Oryctolagus cuniculus: one gene and its partners. The protein of the gene in region 5 purifies or fractionates together with the protein of the main gene of each other region. This does not show direct contact. Links are inferred from orthologs where the notes say so. Each region holds a gene or a part of one and is shown on either strand. Other genes may lie near its edges. The genes, in order: ANAPC1, CDC27, ANAPC4, ANAPC7, MAD2L1 and KIF20A.

Region 1 (3,500 bases), on a different chromosome or scaffold from region 5:
CTTCTGTGTATAAAGTTAATTGAAAACGAATCTTAATGGAGAACGGGATTGGGGATGGGAGAGGGAGGAGGAGGTAGAGTGGGAGTGGGGGTGGGAGGGCGGGTATGGTAGGAAGAATCACTATATTCCTAAAGTTGTACTTATAATATTTGTGCTCACTAAATAAAAGGTTTTTTTGGGGGGGATGGTAAACAGTCCATTTGCCTCCTATACTCACTTCTTAGTCTTTATCTCCTTGTTCTAGCCTGCTTCACCACCACCACCAAGAAGTAACTAACAAAGAGACCCAAAGTCACCAGCCCACCCCTATCACCACACCTCCTCCACCCAAACCTCTCACTCTCCAACCTCCACCTTACACTGCAGGCTGAAAATATCCAACATGGCTGCTGACTATGTCCCCACATCAACCCACACAGCTAATTATAACAACATTATAATAAAATTACCATTGCTGACATTCCTACTCCCAAGAAACATTATGACACTTCTGGGACTTTGTAAAAAGGAAAAAAAAATGGAAGGTGTTGGAGCTGGCATTGTGGCATAGCAAGGTAAGCTGCCACCTACAATGCCAGAATCCCATATCAGAGCTTGGAACTTCTGGCTTTGGCCTGGACCTGGACCTGGACCTGGACCTGGACCTGGACCTGGAGCAGCCGCAGGCCCAGCCAGTGAGGCCAGTGAACCAGCAGTTGGAAGATCTCTCTTTCTCTACCCCCTCTTCAAATAAATGAAAGAGAGAGAGAAAAAAAATAAAAGGTGGTACTCAAACCCTACTCCAAACATCATCATCTATAAATTTTCAATTCTTTTACCCTCTCAAGATCACAGAAAAGGGGTAATCCCAACACCTGCTGGATTCCCTCTTGATTGTGTATTTTCACTTTGCAAATAAATCCTATACTTTCACTGTATCTTATTCTGCTGCACCTTGCCTGTGCCTTGTCCTTAAATTTCTTCCTGCACTGGAGACATGGACTCAGCCATCCTACAGCAAACTCACTGCACCCCAGTACCTCTTCTCTGAGATAAACTCTGTTTAAACTCCTCTCTGAACACTTGACCAGCACCAGGCAATCCTGGCACCTCCTCCTTCTTGGAATGTTCTCTCTTGTTTGCTCTACAATTATCTGACCTCTCTTGCTTTGCCTCACTGCAGAAGCTCTGACTCTTTTTACCTCCAAAATTTTAAAAATGCTATAAAAACCTAAATTTCCTAATCTTGCAAAAATTAGTTTATCCTCTAAACATCAAACACCTCAAATCTGATAGCTTAATATTACTAAATAAGGAAGAAACATCAAGTGGCAAAACAGTATTTCTATGATCACTTTAATATCATTAACATCCTCACTGAAACCAAAGTGGCCTTAATACATAGCTCTATATATTCTCAGGGGTATTAACACATATTATATTATAATAAAGCTTTCAGCAAAACACCAAATATTTTCTTCTAGCACATTTTTCTTTGAATATAAAAATATATGCTCCAAACCTTATATTAGTGATCGTTTCTGTCCACAAATGGTCAATACACAGCTCAGGAACAATTGGCTCTGTTTCTGGTGCAAGAAAGGAGCCATTGGAATTGCTGGTTGGAGAATGAGAAATACTGTGTCTCTTTGGAGACTGATTATGGCTTGAAACATTGAACCTTTGCACTCCTGAAAAAGAATGCACTCCTAAGGCAGGAGAATGGGCACGACTGCAAAATAAACAGAGGAGAACAGTGTGTGACACTTAGCAATGCCGCCTTAGGTAACATACCTTCTGAAAATTCTACACACAGAATATTCATGGCACAATCCCAGTCAGAAAATCCTAAAACGTTTTTAAAGGAAGAACTATTTAAATGGTTCATATTGGCATACTTCACAGTATTCTATACATTTAGAATTCTTCTTAAAAGAAGAATTAAATTAAAACTAAGAATTAGTTCACTTTCTTCCTCAAAAATTACTTTTATTATTTAAAAAGGTTTAATCTGTATTCCTGTATAATGATATACCCACCAAAAAATTATGTCCCTATCGCACTTACAACTCAATTAATATACAAATATATTACCAGAGATACATATAGTTAACAAAAACAAAAGAAAAACTAATATAAATTAAGAAAAGAAAAGAATATCTAAATATTTTTAGAATTAATATTCATCAATAGAAATGAAGCAACCAATCTTAGGACAAGCATAGGCAACTTCTAAATAGGACTCAGCAAAGAAAAGTGACATAGCCAACTTGGAAGTCTTAGCTAAAGTAACACAAATAGGATAATGGCTATTTTCCCTAAAAAAAAAACACCCAGGAGCAGTCTAACTTCTAAATTCTAAATCCTTCAAGATGTAAGACAAAGCTTGCAAAGGTCATCTTTTCCTTGGGCTGTCTTATTTAAAACAAGGAAACACTTCCACCTGAGAGCTGCCATGTTGGAAATCGAAGGTGAGCGGGAATGCAGGCTGGGTGATGAGGCTGAACGGCTCTGGCTGTGAATGGAGGAGTAATTCTGGAAAGGGGAAGCCACGGGAGAATCTCCTTTGGAGAGGCTTCTGAGATGTGCTGTGAGGGAGCTGCTGGTGGCCGCGTTCTGTGGGGTTCCCCCCTGCTCAGAGAACTTTAAAACAGCATTCTCTTCCTTAAGTCAAATGAAGAGAAGTAAACACAAAGATAATAATTAGAACAAAAGGGCAATTTCCTTGTGAGAATGCAAGGTAGATGTGATATCTGTTTTCCCTAAAAAGGTCAATCTATTTCGATTCTTCCAAAAACACCGGAAGGTGTTCAGGATTCACGGCCCTGTTGTGTGCCTTTATCCTTACCTCTGGCTTGACTCTCCGGAGAGTCCACACAGAATGCACATTCTGAACAGAGTCATAGGTCATTACGATGGAGGGGTCAATGTTAAGGAAAACAATTTTCATTGCTGGATCTACAACATAATGCACCCGTGTCGAACCAAAAAGACCTTAAAAATAAAACAGAAACAATCAGATACACAACAATGGGCTTCACAAGACCCATCTTTATGAACCGAGTTCTTAAAATTCCACAAGATAAAAAGAAACCAAGCCAAACAAAGCACAAAGGACATCATTATCCCACATGATTAACTGAATTTTTAAAAATTTACTTTGTATATCTTCCTTAAAATATATTAAAGATGAGAGCATTACAAGCTTCACTTTCAAATACATGCAAGTACACTCTAAAGATTTCCTCTGATGCCTCATCAAATTCAGCAGCCACAGGTAAGAGGTCCATGACTCTTTCAACACCCAACCTATGTATAAACTGTAACCAACTATCTGCCAAGTTTAACTTCCTTAGGGGTCCTTTTCTTCTGTATGAAATCTGTCCTCTGTAACAACTGTTCAAACAGTACTGAACAATACACTACTGTTTCTGCTTTACCATCAACATGTGCAAAGTGTTTTCATACTGAGTTCAGCTTTTACTTCTACTGTTTGATGGATTAGTTTCCATTGCCTTACT
Region 2 (3,500 bases), on a different chromosome or scaffold from region 5:
CCACAGCAGAGAGCTGGCCTGGAAGAGGGGCAACCGGGACAGAATCCGGCGCCCCGACCGGGACTAGAACCCCGGGGTGCCGGCACCGCAAGGTGGAGGATTAGCCTATTAAGCCACGGCGCCGGCCAAGGTTTTTATCTTTTTAATATTAATATGTTCTTTATGTTTTTATACCAAAAAAGTTAAGTTGAGTAACCTAAAGGCAAAGAAAATTCTAATTTCAAATTTTTTCATCTTCTTAAAAAATTCTTTTCGGGGCCGGTGATGTGGCAAAGCAAGTAGAGCCCCCGCCTGCTGTGCCAGCATCCCATATGGGCTCCAGTTCGAGTCCCAGCTGTTCCACTTCCAATCCAGCTCTATGCCGTGGCCTGGGAAAACAGTAAAAGATGGCCCAAGTGCTTGGGCCTCTGTACCTGTGTGGGAAAAAGCTTCTGGCTCCTGGCTTCAGCTCTGGGAGTTGAGGCCATCTAGGGAGTGAACTAGCAAATGGAAGACCTCTCTCTGCTTACCGTTCTCTGTCTGTGTAACTCTTTCAAATAATTAAATAAATAAATCTTTAAAAAAATTTTATGGGTTTAATTGAAAGGCAGAGAGAAGCTGACAGGGATCATCTGTCTGCTGGTTCAGTCTTGAAATGCCTGTAAAAGCCACCACTTGGGATGCCTTTATAGCATATGGAAGTGCCTGGTTCTAGTCCTGGGTCCTTCGCACTTCCCATCCAGCTCCCTGCTAATGTGCCTGGAAGTCTGCAGGTGATGGCTGGAGTACTTGAGTCCCAGGCGTATGGGCCTTGAGGCCAGACCTTGGGCCAGAGACCTAGATGGATTTTGACACTCCTGGCTTTGGCCTGGCCTAATCCTGGTTATTGGGGGCATTTGGGAAGTGAACTAGTAGATGAAATATCTCTCTCTGTTATTCTGCCTTTCAAATAAATAAATAAATTTTTCTTTTTTAAAGAAAGCCAAAACATTAAAGAAATATATTAACAAAATTAATTATTATTTAAAAGTGACAAAGTTACATTTTTGCTCTGTTTATTTTCATATATTCTATATTTGTTTTAGTGCATTTTATATCTTAGACTCTTTTCTAGACCTAAACTAAGGAGACAGTTTCTTGCCTCTGTGGAGCATACATCTTAGGAAGAGACATTGTAAGCCAAGGAATGTATTAGGACAGGTAACAACAAGCCATGAAGGAAAATGAAGCATAGTAAGGAAACTGAGAGATGGTGGAATATGTTGTGATTTAAAAAAAAAAAAAAAAAAAAAAAGAGAGCTCCAGAAAGGAAAGTTATACCTCCTTTCTTGAACCATGCAAAGATTTAAGGGAGAAGTCCTCCTCCAGCCAGAGGATATTGTATAACACATTAAAGAGGATTGTAGGCAGGAAACCTTAAACTTTGCTTCTGCTAGAATCATGTTTGGTACATACAGTATTCACGTAGGCAAAAACTGGAAAGCCCCTTTCAAAATTATTTCTAATTTGTTGTTTCACAAGTTTTTTTATTATATAAACTTTATTGTTCTCCCTAATTTTAGAGTGGTAACTCAGACTTAACTAAAGTTTGAGCTTAGATTGATGTGTCTTCCCCCCCCCCCTTTTTTTTTTTTTAGTCAGTTACAGAGAGAGATCTTCCATCTACTGGCTTATTCCCCAGGTGGCCACAAAGGCCAGAAGTGGACCAGGTCAAAGCCAGGAGCTTCATCCAGGTCTCCCACATGGGTGACAGGGGCCCAAACATTTGGGCCATCTTCTGCTGCTTTCCCATGTCATTAGTAGGGAGCTGGACCAGAAGCAGACCAACCAGGACTCGAACCAGCAGCCATATGGAATGCTGGCGTCACAGGCAGTGGCTTTACTCAGTATGCCACAACACTGACCCTGCAGTAGTTTCTAAAGCATTTGAAACCAACAGGTTCCTGTATTTGACTGGTGGTTGAATTTGTCTTCTCATAACCAATGCCTATTTGAAAAACTTACCTTTATAACTTTCATGATATTTTTAGGGATATTACAAATCATCAAGTTCACAGTTTTATAAGTGCTCTTTTCTTATTTCATCTCATTCATCATTTCATTAAGAACGGCACAGATATTGCTTATTCTGAACTAAATTTGGAGAGTTTTGAATTTACTAACTTGATAGATTTGATAGATTAGAAAACTAATCTATCAAGTTTAGGTTTTATATAACCTAAAACCTCAAACTTCAGGATGAGAGAAGCACAGTTCTGGAAGCTGTGAATATGATGAGGAGAAAAATAGGAGCTGACACTGAGGAGAGGTGCCGAGATGCCCACCTAGCTGCAGAGCAAGGCTAATTGGAATTGGTAGGTGGGGGCGCCAGCTGCGGCTGTGGCAGCGTTGTGGATGTGTTCAGTGCTGCTCACGCCACAGGATTGTGAGCCTCTTTCCTCTCAATAAAAGACAGTGCAAAAAGCACATTCTGTGTTGTACAGTTCATTCTTCCCATCATCTTTCCTGAGAGAATTATTCTATAAAACCATTAGTAAAACTGGAAAAGTGTTTTTTAAGAGCAAAATATTAATTTGTCTTTATTAAATTATGACTTTATGTAAATTTTCTGTGGTTTGGTAGAAACTCAAATTTTCTTTTCAGAGCTCATGTTCTTTGTATGAGTTGTGTATCAAAAGCAGGTTACATATAAGTAGGATTGGTTATGTCAATATTGACCTTCCACAGGAAGTCGCTCAGTGTGTTCTTGTGTTATTACTAATCCACATAAAAGGCACCATTTAGAGCCTGTGAAGACTGAGCAGTACTCTCCCTGTAGACATGTCAACTGGATCTGCTTGTTTCCCCTTCCCCTTACTAGTTTTTGTATTTCAGGCTGAAAGAATATTCTCAGAGGTTAGAAGAATTGAGAATTACAGAGTTGAAGGCATGGAGATCTACTCTACGACACTTTGGCATCTTCAAAAAGATGTTGCTCTTTCAGTTCTTTCAAAAGACTTAACAGACATGGATAAAAATTCACCAGAGGTAAGACAGCCAAAACACTTTGTTTACATAGTTACCTTAATCACCCTTATCAGATGGAGATAAACCAAATAGTTTAAACACTGTTTAGTATCACTCACCCTTATTTTTCTCTGTCCAGGCTGAGAAGCAGACAAGAAATATATGGTACCTAGAATATATGGTACAGATTCACAAATAGAAAAATCACAGAACAGATCAATCATTCAGGATTAATCAAGATTTGACTGTCTTAAAATTGCTGTTGTCTGAACGGCGCCACGGCTCACTAGGCTAATCCTCCGCCTTGCGGCGCCAGCACACCGGGTTCTAATCCCGGTCGGGGCACCGGATTCTGTCCCGGTTGCCCCTCTTCCAGGCCAGCTCTCTGCTGTGTCCAGGGAGTGCAGTGGAGGATGGCCCAAGTGCTTGGGCCCTGCACCCCATGGGAGACCAGGAGAAGCACCTGGCTCCTGCCTGCGGATCAGCGCGGTGCGCAGGCCGCGGCGGCCATTAGA
Region 3 (3,500 bases), on a different chromosome or scaffold from region 5:
TCTTGCTGACACCAAGAAAGTTGTTTTGTGTGATGTAGAGAAACCTGAGAGCTTGCACTCTTTTTCTGTGGAGGCTCCTGTTTCTTGCATGCATTGGATGGAAGTGACTGTGGAAAGCAGGTAGAGTACCCAGAAGGGAACAACTCTGGAAGGGAGGGTAGGCTGTTCATGAAATTGCCATTTTTTAAAGTGGAGACTTAGTGGTATTTTGAGTATGTGTATGCCTCATTTAAATTTTGGCTGTAAGCTTGTAAGATGGAATATTTTAATTTTTTTCTTTTGAAAAATTTTCTTATTGGAGCAATAATGCCTGGCGGGCCAGAATTTTTCTCTGCATGTTGGCAGTGTATGTCAATGGTGTATACTTTCAAGTGATATTAGTTAATTACGGACCAGCACAGTGAGAGTCTGCTCACTGTTTAATTCGTCTGGAGCTCTGTTTTTGTGTCTTAGTAAATATCCTTAGACTATGAAAAGTCTGAAATGGAGCATTCTGTTCTGATGCTGGATTCTTTTCTGTGTCCTGGTCCTGATAGTTTCCTTGTTTCATGAAAACAGTGTTGACCTAGTCTGTGTAGTCAAGTAATATACCGGGTGTGCAGTGAACGTGGCCTAAGGAGTCTCTGGGTTTGCCTAATACTGGTAAAAACAGATTTCAAGGGGGAGGGTGTGATCCAGGAGTCCCCGTTTCCACAGGGCATGAGTTGCACGACCCCTACTGGATAACCGACATGGTGGGTAGTACTGAACCCTGTATACACTGTGGTCCTTCTATGCAGATGTACCGGTGGTGAAGTTAAATTTGTAAAGAGCAGAACGACAGAAACTAATTGGAAGATGGAGCGTTTATAACAGTATGCTGTGTTAAAATTTCTATGAACGTCTTCTTCCTCTTACCGTCTCTATCAAAATATCTTTCTGTACTCACCCTCGTTGAACTTGGGTGACTGAAACCAAGGAGCAGGAAAGTGCAGAGAAGGGGAGACTGATGTCATGTGATTTTCTTCCCGTTAGCTTTTCCTTTCTAATTAAGTCCACTGAGTTAATATCAAATGAATTTGTAAATCTTGAACATCATTTTTAATTGGTGAAAAGATCGGAAGTGGATGAAAAGGATCTAGCCTGGGGTTCCACATTCCCTGTAGATAAACCAGAGTGATTAATCCATTATCAAATAATCAAGGAGTGCAAATGGCCATATGAACTTCTACAAGGTTGGAGGAGCAGTCTCCATGCTGTTCCTGTCACAGCCCAGTCACTTGCTGTGTATTCCCAGCATACTTTCTGCTGGTAGTTTAAAAATTATGTGGGATTACAGGATCTCAGGACAGCTACTTTGGGGAAAAAGTGGGAAAAAATATTTACTGAATCACTACCTTTTCACCTGCTCACTTATTTCTAATCTTATTTAAGGTAGAATTAAAAAATAAAAAGGGATAAGTAAGACAATTTAAAAATATGTGATATGTGACATACCTGCAGGTTTGTCAAATCCCAAGTGTGTGTAAGCTGTAGAACCAATAATTAAATGATACAGTAATCACAACATTCCTTAAAATTACTCTGAGTATTTAACATGTTCAGTGTAGGTTCTTAAGTAAAGCTGACAAATTATAAATTCTCAATCAGTCTCTGAATACTGAATATATTTCAGACACTGAGAAAATTATTCATTCATGTAAATATAAAGTGGGTGGGCATTTTTTTCTTGCAAAATTTAAAAGAAACTTTCTAATTATATTTTTCATTTGAGATTGTTACACTGACTCTCACAATGGTGAAATAGTTGCAGCATTTGTTTAGTTGGTAATGTTATAAAACTGAGCATCTTTTTAAAAACTTCACTTTTTTAATGGAAAGAGAAGTAAAATCTTTGGTGTTTTTCTACTACCTTTTTTTAGTGTTCTGACATCTTTTTATAATGCTGAAGATGAGTCAAATCTTCTGTTACCTAAACTGCCTACATTGCCAAAAAAGTAAGTATCACAGTTTTATTTTTTTTGGAATTAGCCTTGCAGATTTCACTTCCTTCTACTTTCAACACTATGATCAGTTTTCTCGTGTGTTTTTAAACTTTTTATCACGAGTATTTTTATCCCATCTCTGTTTTCTTCTAGCTACAGCAACACCTCAAAAATATTTAGGTAAGATGTGCCTTATTTTCATGTATGATAATCTCTTGTCGTTTGAAACAATTGAAAGATGACCCAATTTATTTTTATATTTTAGTGAAGAAAATTCCGATGAAATTATTAAGCTCTTGGGAGATGTCAGGTAGGTCTCATAGAGATCTTAACTAAATCTGGCTTCTTAAAGTTGCTACTTCATAGTTGAGGCAGTTTGCCAAAGTCCAGCCTTTCTTTGTCCTGTTTTTCTTGTCGTTGACGTAACACCTCCGTACCATACACATACATTAATATTTATTATTTTTATTGTGTGGGCTTTCATTTTGTCAGACTTCAGTACCATTCAAGTGTGCCTTTGTTTATAATTTTTTTTTTTTATTTGACAGGTAGAGTTATAGACATTGGGAGAGACAGAGAGAAAGGTCTTCCTTCTGTTGGTTCACTCCCCAAATGGCCACTACAGCCGGTGCTATGCTGATCCAAAACCAGGAGCCAGGTGCTTCCTCCTGGTCTCCCATGTAGGTGCAGGGGCCCAAGCACTTGGGCCATCCTCCACTTCCCTCCCTGGTCACAGCAGAGAGCTAGACTGGAAGAGGGGCAGCCGGGACTAGAACCCGGAGCCCATATGGGATGCCGGTGCTGCAGGTGGAGGATTAACCTAGTGAGCCACAGCGCCGGCCTCAAGTGTGCCTTTGTTTATTAACAAGCAAAAGAGGATTGAAATTTCTAAAATTTTAATTTAAGAATATAAGTTTCCTTTAATCCCATTTAGTGTAGTTAGCATGATAGCCGTGATAAAGCTGTAGAACTTTGTATTACCTGGAAAAATAGTTGTTTTGTCATCGAGAGTGTAATTGTTAGTATCATGTATTCTTAGTTTACCGTAAGCGGATTTGTGTTGGAGTTGAGGAACTCTGGGTTTGAGTGGTGGTGCGTTTGTGCGTGTCCCACTGCAGGGGAGATGACAGCGCAGAGTTTCTGTCTTGGTTTAAGACACGGTCATCTCTGCTCAGTGCGCCTCACCTCACTGTACTATTTCTACTTAGGCTTAATATTCTTGTCCTTGGAGGAAGCTCTGGCTTTATTGAACTGTATGCTTATGGCATGTTCAAGATCGCCCGAGTCACTGGGGTAAGTTTGTCTTTACCATTGTCTCCATCGTTTCTGGTAGCTAATTCGTTTATGGTTTTCTTTGGCTTCAGCCCGTGGGACTGTTCGTTCTTGAATGTTCAGAGGCTAGTTCTCTTACTGAGATACAGCAGTAGTGCTAGGATGTCTGTAGAGACCAGGGGCTGTTGGTGGAATTTGTTTCTCTTTAACAAAGACATGGGATAATGCACTTGGTTATGATGGAGCGTCCTTCCTGCTGTGCGA
Region 4 (3,500 bases), on a different chromosome or scaffold from region 5:
TACGCCACAGTGCCAGCTTCTGTCTCTTATATTTTAAATTTTCTTATTGAATAGTGGTGCAGAGGATTAAGATGTTGCTTGGGATGTCTGCAGTCCCATTTAGGAGTGTTGGTTCCAGTCCTGCCTGTTCTGCTTCCTGTCTAGCTTCATGCTAGTGCATCAGAGAGCAGCGGATGGGTGATGGCCCAAGTGCTTGGGTTCCTGCCACCCATGTGGGAGACCCGAATGGAGTTCCAGGCTGCTGGCTTCAGCATGGCCCAGCCCTGGCTGTTGAGCATTTGGGGAATGAACCAGTGGTTCCAAGATCTAGCTCTGCTTTTAGATTTATTTCTTCATTTAAAAGTCAGAGTTACAGAGAGAGAAGGTAGAGACAGAGGTCCTCCATCCCATGGTTCACTCCCCAAATGAATGCAGTGGCCAAGACTAGTCCAGGTGGGTAGCAGGGCCTAAGCACTCTGGCGATCTGCTGCTTTCCCATGTGCATTAGGGAGCGGGATCAGATGTGGAGTAGTCAGGACTCCCATGCAAATGGCATGCCAGTGTTGCAGGCGGTGTCACAACATTGGCCTCTTCAGTATTTAAAGAGTTTTCCAGTTCTTTTTTGAACTCTTTGTTCAGCTCCTTCCTAAAAAGGAGTCAAAGTGGTGAGATTTCTTTTTTTCAGGTCTTTGCCGCATCTTTAGTAATGCTAGTTAAGTCGTCATTGGCCTAAAAACTTGATGTTAATTAACACTATATAGATGAAGGTATATCTGTATTTCAAACTGTTACATTAAGAGTGTTTAGAATAAACATATATATATATATATAATTGGATTTGATTTATAGGTATCATTTCTTTATATTAAGTAAAGGGAAATCATTAAGGAAAAATCTTATTAAAACAGAACAACCTAGGCACAGTGTTGTGGTGTAGCAGGTTAAGCCACAGCCTACGACACCAGCATTCTATGTGGGTGCCAGTTTGAGTCCCAGCTGCTCCACTTCTGCTCCCTGCTAATGCGCCTGGGAAAGCAGTGGAAGTTGGCTCAAGTATTTGACTCCCTGCAACCTACATGTGAGATCCAGATGAAGTTCCTGGCTTTGGCCTGGCCCAGCCCAGGCCATTGCAGCCATTCGGGAGGTCAACCAGCAGATGGAAGATCACTATGTCACTCTGCCTTTCAAATAAAAGAAATAAAATCTTTTTTAAAACCCCAAGAAACAAAACAACTTGAGGTACTATTTTAGATGTGTTGACCATTATTGGCATAAGATTCAACTTCTTAAACCTCTCACTTAAGGGCCATTTGGGGAGTAAATCAGCATATGGAATATCTGTCTGTCATTCTGCCTTTGAGTAGATGAATAAATATTAAAAAAATTCACATTTTTAGTTATCTGTATAAAATGGAGAAACAATGTATTAGAAGTATTTTTACTTTATTTAAACTGCGGTTGTACAAGACTTTGTACTAGACTAATGTGGATACTAAGATGTTCTTCCTGTATTGCAAAATAACCCACGTTGGGGGTGTACTCTCTCTGTTTTCTAGGGAGTTGTTCTCCCCGTCTCAGAAGTACCAGCTCTTGGTGTATCATGCTGACTCTCTGTTTCACGATAAGGAATACCGGAATGCTGTCAGTAAGTATACCATGGCTTTACAGCAAAAGAAAGCCCTTAGTAAAACTTCAAAAGTGAGACCTTCAACTGGAAATTCTGCGTCTACTCCACAAAGTCAGGTAATTGGAGATGGAATTGTGTTTGGTTTTGGTTTTGGTTTTTTGAGAGAGGGACTGAAGGGATTTAGAAGATAGATGGTTAGTTAGATGTAAAAGGTGGTCAGATAGGAAGTAACTTTAAAGGGGAGATGACTGGAGAAAGGTGAAAAATCCATGTGGATGTGCGAATGTGTCCAACTAAGTATTAAAGGCTAAGAGTAGGCTGGTGCCGCAGCTCACTAGGCTAATCCTCCGCTTGGGGCGCCGGTTCTGTCCCGGTCGCTCCTCTTCCAGTCCAGCTCTCTGCTGTGGCCCCGGGAAGGCATGGAGGATGGCCCAAGTGCTTGGGCCCTGCACCCCATGGGAGATCAGGAAGAAGCACCTGGCTCCTGCCTTCGGATCGGCGAAGTGTGCCTGCTGTAGCAGCCATTTGGGGGTGAACCAACGGAAGGATGACCTTTCTCTCTCTCTCTCTCTAATTCTGCCTGTCCAAAAAAAAAAAAAAGGCTAAGAGCAATGAGACTAAAAATTAAACATGAATTATCTAGAGTTATCTAGACTGACAGTCATACATTGTTTCTCCATTTTATACAGATAAAAAATGTGAAGTTTTTTTTTTTTTTTTTTTTATATTTGTTCATCTACTCAAAGGCAGAATGACAGAGACAGATACTCCATATGCTGCTTGACTCCCCACATGCCCACAGCACCTGGGCCTGGGCCAGACCTGCACGCCATCCAGGTTTCCCATGTGAGTGGCAGAGGTCCAAGCACTTGAGATGTCATCTGCTACCTCCCAGGATGCTTTAGCAGAAACTGGGTGAAACAGAGGGGCCAGGACTGGAACCAGCACTCCAGTGTGGGATGCAGTGTCCCAAGCAGTGGCTTAACGTGCTGTACCACAGGGCCTGCCCAGTATTTATAACTAATGGAAATACAACACAGAATGCTTTTCAGTTAGATTTGTGAGTATCTGGGGAAACTTGTGGTAAATAATCAATTCCTGGCAATTTTGACTGCTTAATAATTAGTTAAGTAAAGAAGGCATAAAATTGTAATGTCCTCATCACTTGCTAGAAATTAACCCTAATGGGGGCTGGTATTGTGGTGCGGAGAGTTAAGCTGTTGCCTGCAGCACCAGTACCCTATATGGACAAGTTCAAGTCCCAACTGCTTCCAATCCAGCTCTCTACTAATGCACCTGGGAAAGCAGTGGAAGGTGGCCCAAGTCCTTGGGCACCTGCACCCACATGGGAGACCTAGATGAAATTCCTGGCTCCTGGCTTCTACCTGTCCTAACCCTGGCCAATGCAGCATTGCAACCGTTTGGAACCATTGGATAGAATACCTCTTTCTATGTGTCTCCTCTCTGTATGTGTAACTCTGCCTTTCAAATAAATAAATAAATCTTTAAAAAAAAATCAACCCTAATAAGCTCACAGTTTTGAAGATATAAAACTAAAACTGCTCATTGCAGTGTTTTATAATAGTAAGAAACTGGAGGGATGGGAATTTGGTGCAGTGGTTAAGATACAGCTCAGGATGACTCCTGCATAGCATATCAGAGTTTGAATCCTAGGTTCAAATCCCAACTCCACTTCCAATTCATTTACTTAACTCCAATTCCAGCTTCCTGCTCATGCACACCCTAGGAGGCAGCAGGCATTGGGTGGCTCAAGTGCTTGGACTGCTGCCACCCACGTGGGAAACCTGGATGGAGTTCTGATTCCTGGCTTCAGCCTGGACTGGCCCCAGCTGTTGTGGTCATTTGGGGGGTGACCAGCAAATGGAATATATCT
Region 5 (4,164 bases):
TAACTTCCAAACTATGTTATTACAAGACCCAAGAAATTCTTTCCTGAATGCTGTTTTAACATGGAGTTTCTTAGAAAGAGAGGCAAATTTTATACAGAGAAAGGTGGACACCACACTATTAGTCTGATGGCAAATTCTAGTCCTACTTTTAAGCTCCCAGTAGAAGGGATGAAGAACATCCAAGTTTCTTTCTCCTTACCCTCACATCACCTATTGTCCCTAATATCAAAGATTGCAGTTTCTACACATACACACAATAAAGGATATAAGGAAAATATTTCACTGGGTTATATTAGCCTATTACCGATTATGTTCATTTTTAAACTTCAAATGGTTAAAAATCTGATACATAACACTAATAGAATGCTAAGATGGAGGCCCAAATTCCAAGCCCCTGAAGGGATACATCCAATATAATCCCTTTGCCTTGAGTTTGGGCAGAACCTAAAACTATAAGGGGAATATCACTTCTGGGATTAGGTTAATCAAAAGGGAGGTGACCTGACCTACTCAGGTGAGCTCTCCCAAAGATCAAGGGTCTCCTGAAAATCAGAGACTGGAAATGGGAAAAGACATGTGACAAACATGCAAGACAACACACGGGGACCTCACTCCAACAACGGCGAGCAATGTAGTTCTGCCAGCCAACAACCAGGGAGTTTGGGAGGGGACCCCAAACAGCAAATGAGACCACATTTGCAGACCTTTGATTTTAGCCTTGTGTGACATCGAACCTACGTCATGCTCAGTACCTACATAACTGAGATAACAATTGGTGTTTTTTTTTATTTAAGCCACCAATTTATGGTACTCTGTTCCGAAGCAATAGAAAACACACACACTCAAGCATTTCTCATATACTTAAATAACAGTATGCATATGTCTGGCAGATAGGAGAGTTTTTCAGACTTCATTTTACATTTCAGACTTGATCTCCCTAGATGCTTTAAGAATCCTTTCACAATGGACATCAATGCTACTTGTGCACTACCTCCTTAACACTTCTCATCCTATTGAATTTGCGAATGAAAATTCAGTGAGTTAATTCTTCAGTGTCGATGGGCCTCTTCTGTGAGGTTTAGGCCAGCCCCCTAAAGATGGATAGAAAGGACAGAACCTGGAGGAGGTCTCAACCGCCCCTCACCCCCACCCCCACAAACACACACCCTGGTCTGTGACGGAAGGCCATACTTCCAGACAGATTTGGCAGGGGACAGAAAAGCAAGATGCGGTTTGTCGCTTTAATCTCTAACTCCGTCTCTCCGGAAAAGCCGCGTTCCCACAAAGACACCAGGCCTGCCTAAACTACTTGGCAGCTGCATACTTTGTTCCTTTAAAAATCCCCCAAGCGTGCACTGCGGGTTGCTTCAGGTGCAGCGGCCAGGCGGCTCACAACAGTTTGACAGTTATCTCTCAAATTTAGGAAGTGCGCCTCTCTTGGTCACTAAAGCCACAGGTCTATGAAGCGACCATTTAAACGCAGACCTTCCACCTTCTTTGCGCGGCCAAACAAGTACCTGGGCGACCACGCCAGAGAATATCTCCCAACACCACATCAGAGCGTAGAAACTTGGAACCTGGCGACCAAGTTCACCAACTGCGCCTGCGCAAAGCGGCCTTGTCGTTCTCCTTGCCCCCCCCCCCCCCGCAGCGAAGTCGGGGAGGCGAGAGAGGAAGGGCAGGGCCCCGCCGCGAGGGGCGGGGCTTAGAGGCTCGTCGCGTTTACGCAAAGGGCGCGACTGCGTGCTGCGTCGTTACATTTGAAACTGGTGGCGGGGAACTGCTGTGGACCGCCGCCGTCTGGGTCTGCGGAGCGGAAGCGCGCGTTGGCGTCCGTGGGTCTGGCCATGGCGCGACAGCTAGCCCGGGAGCAGGGTATCACCCTGCGCGGGAGCGCTGAAATTGTGGCCGAGTTCTTCTGTGAGTCTTCCTGGCGCTCGGCGGAGGGTGGGGATACCTGAGGCCTGGCGGCGCGGGAGGCCTACGGCTCGGCCTCGCGGACCCCTGAAGCCTTGGCCGCTGCAGGCCTTCTGCTGCCCGGGAGGAGTGTGGGGAGAGGAGATGCGGACGCTTGTGCGGTCTCTATGCTGATGCTACAGGGGGAGGCCTAGGTGCCCCTGAGGCCTGCCTCCGGGCCTAGCCTCTAACGGAGCGAAATGCTTCTTTAATATGTTGATGCCTCCCCCCATTCTCCCCCCATATTTCACCACCCACCCCGCCCTCCTCCTAGAGGCTTGGGACACCAAATGAGCGCGTGTGTTTCCACCTAGACTCCACCCTCAGCCCAGGTGTGGGAGCTGTACTTCCTCAAAGAACAGTGAGGAGGAAAAAGAGGGAGAGGCTAGCCGGACGCAGTGGACCAGAAACTCATTCACGTGTTTTCTGGGTCGCAAAAGTCTAGTTTGGCGTCTTCTGAACACATAATCTGAACTTGGGCTTGCCTTACAATACGGTAAAATTGGGAAGTGGTAGGTTAAGGCAGTTTGGCATTTTTCTTTTGTTTAGTTGTCTCTTGGTAACAAGATTTTAAGGATTTTTAAAAATACTTATTTTTTTGAATGGCCTGGACCAAGCTGAAGCCTGGAGCCTGAAACTCCGTCCTAGTTTCCCACAGCTAGCAAGGACCCAGGCATTTGGGTCATTTTTTACTGCCTTCCCAGGGCACATTCTCAGAAAGAAGGCTGGGAAGTAGAACAGGACTTGGACTAGCACTCTAGTATGGGATGTCCTGCGTCACAGGCACTGAGTTAACCTGCACCATAAGGCAGACCTGAATTAAAGGATGTTGATGGCACTCTGATTACTTTGGTTTCCACGAGATATAATAAATGTGTGTAACCATTTTCAGTTTTTTAAGAGTAATGAAACTAGTCACATTTAAACATACTTTATTTTCCATTGGTACAAAAGGACAATGACTTACATGTTTGTTTTGCTTTCAGCATTTGGCATCAACAGCATTTTGTATCAGCGTGGCATATATCCATCTGAAACCTTTACTCGAGTGCAGAAGTATGGACTCACCTTGCTTGTAACTACTGATCCTGAGCTTATCAAATACCTAAATAATGTGGTGGAACAACTAAAAGGTATTTAATCATTGGAAAAAATTCCAGTGTTGCAGGCATTCCTAGAGCTACATTTTCTATCATGCTAAATGGCCTTTTTCAGCTTCCTATATCAAAGTATTAATTTTTTAAAAAAAACAACCATCTCAAATATAGTGATTCTCAATTGGGAGGAAGCAAATAATAGTGATTGAAGTAGATTGGTAGAAACCCTATCCACCCCCCTCCCCACACACACACACTACATTTTAAGTGGGCTGGATATTTTACTTTCAGAAACCTTACACAGCCTTAACAAAACAGTTAGCATCAAATCCCTTTGAAATAGCTTTTGCAGGTAATGTGGCCAGGGGAACAACATGGAATTTTGCATGATCCCAATGGCATTCATTATCTATTTAAGAAAATGTACGGTATATGTTCTTATATGGTATGTTGGTTTTCTGTAACTGGCGTCTATAAAGTTGTTAGATTAAGATCAAGGAAAATAAAAATGAATGCAACTAGGGAAGTAAACTTCAAAAATAGAAAAAAGAATAATTACTCAATAGATATCCAGTAGAGTTTTCTTATTTTTCAACCACTTCCATTTGTTAGAAAAATTCACAAATTTTTCTGTGTGAACACTTGCTTTAGCTCAAGAAATTGTATTCCTTGTTGGATCAAAACTTGATCTCCATTTGTTTGGTTTTTTACCTACTTCGGGAACTCTTATTAGTTTCTCTGCCTAGGGTTTTTATTTCTAATTTTCTATGTTGTAGTGTGTTTCTCTCAATTTGGCTTCCCATGTTATTTCCAAAGAGTGCTACAGTAACTAAATATTTTTTTTGAGGGGAAGGGAATTTTTAAATTCAGAAATCCTTTTTTTCTCAAATTTTTTAGTTCAATTATAGCTTCATGCTTTATAATTTTCATTGTATTTTCATGAACTTTGTTTTTAAAGTGCCCTGTTGATGGGCATCTGAATTTTGTTACCATGTTATCTCTCTTTCAAGCTACATTATCCCCTAGATAATATGTAAATATTTAACTGCCATTCATATATACAATATTAAAATCCTTCAATACTTATAGAGGTTAATTGGATGTATTCTCT
Region 6 (4,274 bases), on a different chromosome or scaffold from region 5:
ATGGCACCTACTGTATTCTTTACACTGGCATTATAGCATTATATTTTTTCAAATGCCATAGCTCAAGCTCAGATTAAAAAAAAAAAAAAAAAAAAGGCAGGGAATGGGGAGAGAATGCCAGATTAAGACGAACCAGTTGGGGTCGGTGCTGTGGCATAGTGGGTAAAGCCGCCGCCTGCAGTGCCGGCATCCCATAAGGGCGCCGATTCGAGACCCGGCGGCTCCACTTCCAATCCAGCTCTCTGCTGTGGCCTGGAAAAACAGCAGAAGATGGCCCAAGTCCTTGGGCCCCTGCAGCCACAAGGGAGACCTGGAGGAAGCTCCCGGCTCCTGACTTGGGATCAGCGCCGCTCTGGCGTTGAGGCCAATTGGGGCGTGAACCAGTGGATGAAGACCCCTCTCTCCCTCTCTCTCTCTCTCTGCCTCTCCTCTCTCTGTGTAACTCTGGTTTTCAAGTAAAAATAAATAAATCTAAAAAAAAAAAAAAAAAAAGGTGAATCAGGCTGTCACTAGAATACAAGGATTCCAATTTGAACGGAAGGGCTTATTTCCCAGGATTCCGAGCGGCCGCCGGCCCCGCCTCCCTCTTAGCATAAACTTGTTTACTCCCAACGGCCCCTTCCCCCCAACCGTCGGGCCTGAAGGTCCTCTCCTACCCCAAACACGGAAATGGCTGAAACGCACGAAACGCAACTTCCCCACGGACAGAAAAAAGCCCACGGCTCAAATACGCACTTCCACTGCCTCGCAACGTTGGTCCGAGAATGACTGGCTCTTTGAAATGCCTGCCACTCCCACAGAGCTCGCGACAACTCTTCATCAGCAACCCCAGGTTTCCAAGCTGCCTTTACCTCTGACCCTACACAGCTCATAACACAAAAATTCACGGAGCTGTTTTTCTCGTCCTTCTCCCTCCCTGAGGTGAAAGACCGTAAACTCTGGGGCCCTCCGACGCTTATCTTCACGACACGGCCTAGCCCAAATCCCTGAGGACTCCGGGCTCCCCGCCAAACCACTCTTTCGATTTCCTAGCCGTGCGACAGAAATGTGGTGTTTAACCCCGGCTCCCCAACGGCCTCCCAAACAAAAGCAGCCCCGATACTCACTGCCCGTCCCCGTCGCCATCTTGGCTCCGAAGTCTAGCTCCTGAGGAGAGGCAGTCCGACTCGGCCGATCTCCGGGAACTCTGGGAAATAGAGTACGGGCGTTGCTTCGCGGTGCCTCCTGGGAAATGTAGTTTTCTCTCCGAAGACGTAGCGAACGCTCTGAACCAGCGGTCTTGTGCGTTCCGGGAAAGGGCTGTTACCACATAAAAGACAAAATGGCGACTAAAACTTCACCACTTCTTTTAGGCCTCTTGGGAACGAAATGTCTAGACTTCAAGGAAAAGAGTCAGGAATCCCAGGTGAGACACCTGAGAGCCCGCAACGGTTGGTAACCCGGACCCACATTGCAGTTGAGAGGTCACGCTCAAGTAAACGGTCTCCCAGTCGTCCCCGCCTCCTTCCCTTACGCTGATTGGTAGCTACAGGCTTCGCCAGCTGATTGGCCGAGCGAACGCAGCGCGTAGTTTAAAACATTGTATCGGGAACAAAGCTGCACCTCGTGGGTGGAGTTTTACTCTCAGGCAGCCGACGAAGTGATTCGGAACGAGACGTAAGCTGGTACCGCAGAAGGAGCGAGTGTCACGGCCTCGGGTGAGTGTGCGGACGGGCTGCACGCAGCGTTACCAGCTCTTGCCCGCGAGGAGTAGGCGTCCGGAAAGCGGAACTGGAGACGCCTCGTCTCGGTGGGCGTTGGGGTGCAGTCGGTGGAGCCTGCGATCCTCCCAGCCCCGGCGAGCCAGGCTCCCTCCTCGGAGCGTGGCCTTCCGCTTTTGCAACCTGATAGCCCAGGATTAACGTTCGCCTTCGAAAATGCCGCCTTAGGCTGGATTAACTTTCAATCCTCATCGCCTTTCCCTCTGCAGATAAGATACTGGGGCTGGGGCAGTGGGTGGGGAAGGGCGTAGCAATTCTGGCAGCCGGGCCAGGTGTCTTGGGACTGGGCCTTTTTTTTTTTAACCTGGTTTGAAGCCTCTTCGTCCCAAGTCCTTGCTTCACTTTCTTGTCTCCTTTCAGACCTCGGCTGCCCCCTGCTGTCATGTCGCATGGGATCCTTTCTCCGCCCACGGGCTTTCTGTCAGATGAGGAGGTGGGCGTCTCCCCCATGTTTGAGTCCACAGCTGCAGATCTGGGGTCTGTGGTTCGCAAGGAACTGCTGTCGGACTGCTCCGTCATTTCCGCCTCTCTAGAGGACAAGCCACAGGTAAAGGACTAGGGGGAGTGGCTCGGGCGGCGGAAGGCCTTAGCCACAGTTGTCCACGCAAGGTAGAAGTTCTGAGATAGCAATTCAGAATTAAGGGTATGACAAGCAAAAACCCCGTAGAATATGTGGCCTCAAGTTCCTGCTCATGGTTAGCTCCAAGGGAGAGAGCAGTTCCTTCTCTTCACCACGAGGCCCAGTTAAGTGTTGGATAATTTGCACAAGTTCGTCCTGGTGTTAAGTGCAATGGCTTAGCAACATCAACCATTTGTTTAGCTTTCCGCTAGGCCAAGGTTTCTCAGCCACAGCATTATTTGACATTTGGGGCCATAGTCTTTCTTGTGGGGGTTGGCCTTTGTATGGTAAGGTGTTTAACAGCATTCTTGGCCTCTGTCCACTGGATGTCAGTAGTAACTTCCCTATTCTGATGACCAAAAAGTCTAGAGATCACTAAATGCCCCTTGTAGCTGGGAGAAGTGGAGAAATGGCCCTGGTTGAGAGCCACTTTACTAGGCCCAATGCTGAATGTGTTTGTGTGGTTTTTTTTATAAGATTTATTTATTTATTTATTTGAAAGGCAGAGGCAGAGAGAGGTATCCATCCACTAGTCTACTCCCCAGATGGCCACAAGGGCCGGAGCTGAGCTGTTCTGAAGCCAGAAGCCAGGAACTTCTTCTGGGTCCCCGACACGGGTGCAGGGGCCCAAGGACTTGGGCCATCTTCTGCTTTCCCAGGCCATAGCAGAAAGCTAGATCGGAAGTGGAGCGGCGGGTCTTGAACCAGTGTCCATATGGGATGTTCACACTGGAGATGACAGCTTTACCCAGTATGCCACAGCACCAGCCCCTGCTAAATGTTAACATGCTTTGTTATATTGTCTTTTTTTTCTTATCTTTTTTTTTTTTTTTAAGATTTGTTTATTTATTTGAGAGATAAAGTTACAGAGAGAAAGAGATAGAGATCTTACATCTGCTGATTCACTCCCCAAATGGCTGTAATAGCTGGAGCTGGGCTGATCTGGAGCCAGGAGCCAGAAGCTTCTTCTGGGACTCCCAGGGCCTATGCCTGAGGGCCATCTTCTGCTGCTTTCCCAGGCCATAGCAGAGAGCTGGATCAGAAGAGGAGCGGCCGGGATAGGAACAGACCGGCACTCATGGGATGCAGGCGCTGCAGGCATCTGCACTGCATGCCACAGTGACAACTCCTGTCCTTTCTTAGAGTTTTTCTTAGGAACTTAAAGTTCCATCAGAATCGAGTCCTTGACAGTGTCCCTCATGGACTACCAGAACCTGTTGGAGTTTGGGCCATAGTGGGCACTTTGAATGTCTGTTGAATGCTTGAACTGGGTGCTATTAACTCCATTCTACAGATGAGGAAACTGAGGCAAAACATTTTAAAAGCTTGTTCAAGGCTTCATAGTTACTAAATGATGGAATTGGAACTCAAATTCAATTGCGTCTGCCTTGCAGCCTCCCAGCAGCTTAATGACTTGATATCCAATAGTATCACATACAGATTTTCATACCAATCAACCACTTCTAACTCAGATAATTGGTATGGCAAACTAGGTTTGGAGGATACTGATAAGACAGAAAAGGGTGAGAAAGTAGTAAAAAAAGAAAAGTGTGTGTAGGTTGGAATGATTGTGGAACCAAGACTAGCTGCACAGACATTTGGAATGGAATGGGGTGATGTCAGTGTGATTCCTAGGAACTGTGCTGTTTGCCATTTGCTCAGAGGGGGCTGCTGAGATTAATCCATGGTTCCGGATTGGAATTCTGCCACAGGTTCCACCAGACAGTGCAGAGAAGGTGAAAGTTTACCTGAGGGTCAGGCCCTTGTTACCTTCAGAGTTGGAACGACAAGAGGATCAGGTGAGTGAGGAGGGAGTAATTTAAATGGAATCATGTAGTAGAGAAGAGGTTCCCAGGAATGTTTTCCTGTGTGACAACTATTTTCCTCCATCAAAG

What was found.
Region 1: the proteins of MAD2L1 (region 5) and ANAPC1 purify together in Homo sapiens (affinity purification with mass spectrometry; 3 studies listed by BioGRID and IntAct, with this or other methods). This does not show direct contact. The link is inferred for Oryctolagus cuniculus from reciprocal best matches to the Homo sapiens genes MAD2L1 and ANAPC1.
Region 2: the proteins of MAD2L1 (region 5) and CDC27 purify together in Homo sapiens (affinity purification with western blotting; 29 studies listed by BioGRID and IntAct, with this or other methods). This does not show direct contact. The link is inferred for Oryctolagus cuniculus from reciprocal best matches to the Homo sapiens genes MAD2L1 and CDC27.
Region 3: the proteins of MAD2L1 (region 5) and ANAPC4 purify together in Homo sapiens (affinity purification with western blotting; 14 studies listed by BioGRID and IntAct, with this or other methods). This does not show direct contact. The link is inferred for Oryctolagus cuniculus from reciprocal best matches to the Homo sapiens genes MAD2L1 and ANAPC4.
Region 4: the proteins of MAD2L1 (region 5) and ANAPC7 purify together in Homo sapiens (affinity purification with mass spectrometry; 3 studies listed by BioGRID and IntAct, with this or other methods). This does not show direct contact. The link is inferred for Oryctolagus cuniculus from reciprocal best matches to the Homo sapiens genes MAD2L1 and ANAPC7.
Region 6: the proteins of MAD2L1 (region 5) and KIF20A purify together in Homo sapiens (affinity purification with mass spectrometry; 4 studies listed by BioGRID and IntAct, with this or other methods). This does not show direct contact. The link is inferred for Oryctolagus cuniculus from reciprocal best matches to the Homo sapiens genes MAD2L1 and KIF20A.

The regions. Positions count from the first base shown.
Region 1 is NC_091433.1:113,096,715-113,100,214, forward strand, and holds part of ANAPC1 (anaphase-promoting complex subunit 1), read right to left. Parts: intron 2,974-3,500; coding exon 2,828-2,973; intron 2,644-2,827; coding exon 2,423-2,643; intron 1,712-2,422; coding exon 1,502-1,711; intron 1-1,501. UniProt on the Homo sapiens protein: Component of the anaphase promoting complex/cyclosome (APC/C), a cell cycle-regulated E3 ubiquitin ligase that controls progression through mitosis and the G1 phase of the cell cycle.
Region 2 is NC_091448.1:16,996,662-17,000,161, forward strand, and holds part of CDC27 (cell division cycle protein 27 homolog), read left to right. Parts: intron 1-2,853; coding exon 2,854-3,006; intron 3,007-3,500. UniProt on the Homo sapiens protein: Component of the anaphase promoting complex/cyclosome (APC/C), a cell cycle-regulated E3 ubiquitin ligase that controls progression through mitosis and the G1 phase of the cell cycle.
Region 3 is NC_091433.1:20,493,248-20,496,747, forward strand, and holds part of ANAPC4 (anaphase-promoting complex subunit 4), read left to right. Parts: coding exon 1-120; intron 121-1,901; coding exon 1,902-1,976; intron 1,977-2,117; coding exon 2,118-2,144; intron 2,145-2,229; coding exon 2,230-2,274; intron 2,275-3,172; coding exon 3,173-3,257; intron 3,258-3,500. UniProt on the Homo sapiens protein: Component of the anaphase promoting complex/cyclosome (APC/C), a cell cycle-regulated E3 ubiquitin ligase that controls progression through mitosis and the G1 phase of the cell cycle.
Region 4 is NC_091452.1:8,080,090-8,083,589, reverse strand, and holds part of ANAPC7 (anaphase-promoting complex subunit 7), read left to right. Parts: intron 1-1,535; coding exon 1,536-1,722; intron 1,723-3,500. UniProt on the Homo sapiens protein: Component of the anaphase promoting complex/cyclosome (APC/C), a cell cycle-regulated E3 ubiquitin ligase that controls progression through mitosis and the G1 phase of the cell cycle.
Region 5 is NC_091439.1:45,314,113-45,318,276, forward strand, and holds the start of MAD2L1 (mitotic spindle assembly checkpoint protein MAD2A), read left to right. Parts: upstream 1-1,364; 5' UTR 1,365-1,847; coding exon 1,848-1,920; intron 1,921-2,942; coding exon 2,943-3,089; intron 3,090-4,164. UniProt on the Homo sapiens protein: Component of the spindle-assembly checkpoint that prevents the onset of anaphase until all chromosomes are properly aligned at the metaphase plate.
Region 6 is NC_091437.1:25,991,818-25,996,091, forward strand, and holds the start of KIF20A (kinesin-like protein KIF20A), read left to right. Parts: upstream 1-1,474; 5' UTR 1,475-1,697; intron 1,698-2,120; 5' UTR 2,121-2,142; coding exon 2,143-2,307; intron 2,308-4,091; coding exon 4,092-4,178; intron 4,179-4,274. Other genes in the region: BRD8 (bromodomain-containing protein 8), read right to left, coding at 1,107-1,125. UniProt on the Homo sapiens protein: Mitotic kinesin required for chromosome passenger complex (CPC)-mediated cytokinesis. Following phosphorylation by PLK1, involved in recruitment of PLK1 to the central spindle. Interacts with guanosine triphosphate (GTP)-bound forms of RAB6A and RAB6B.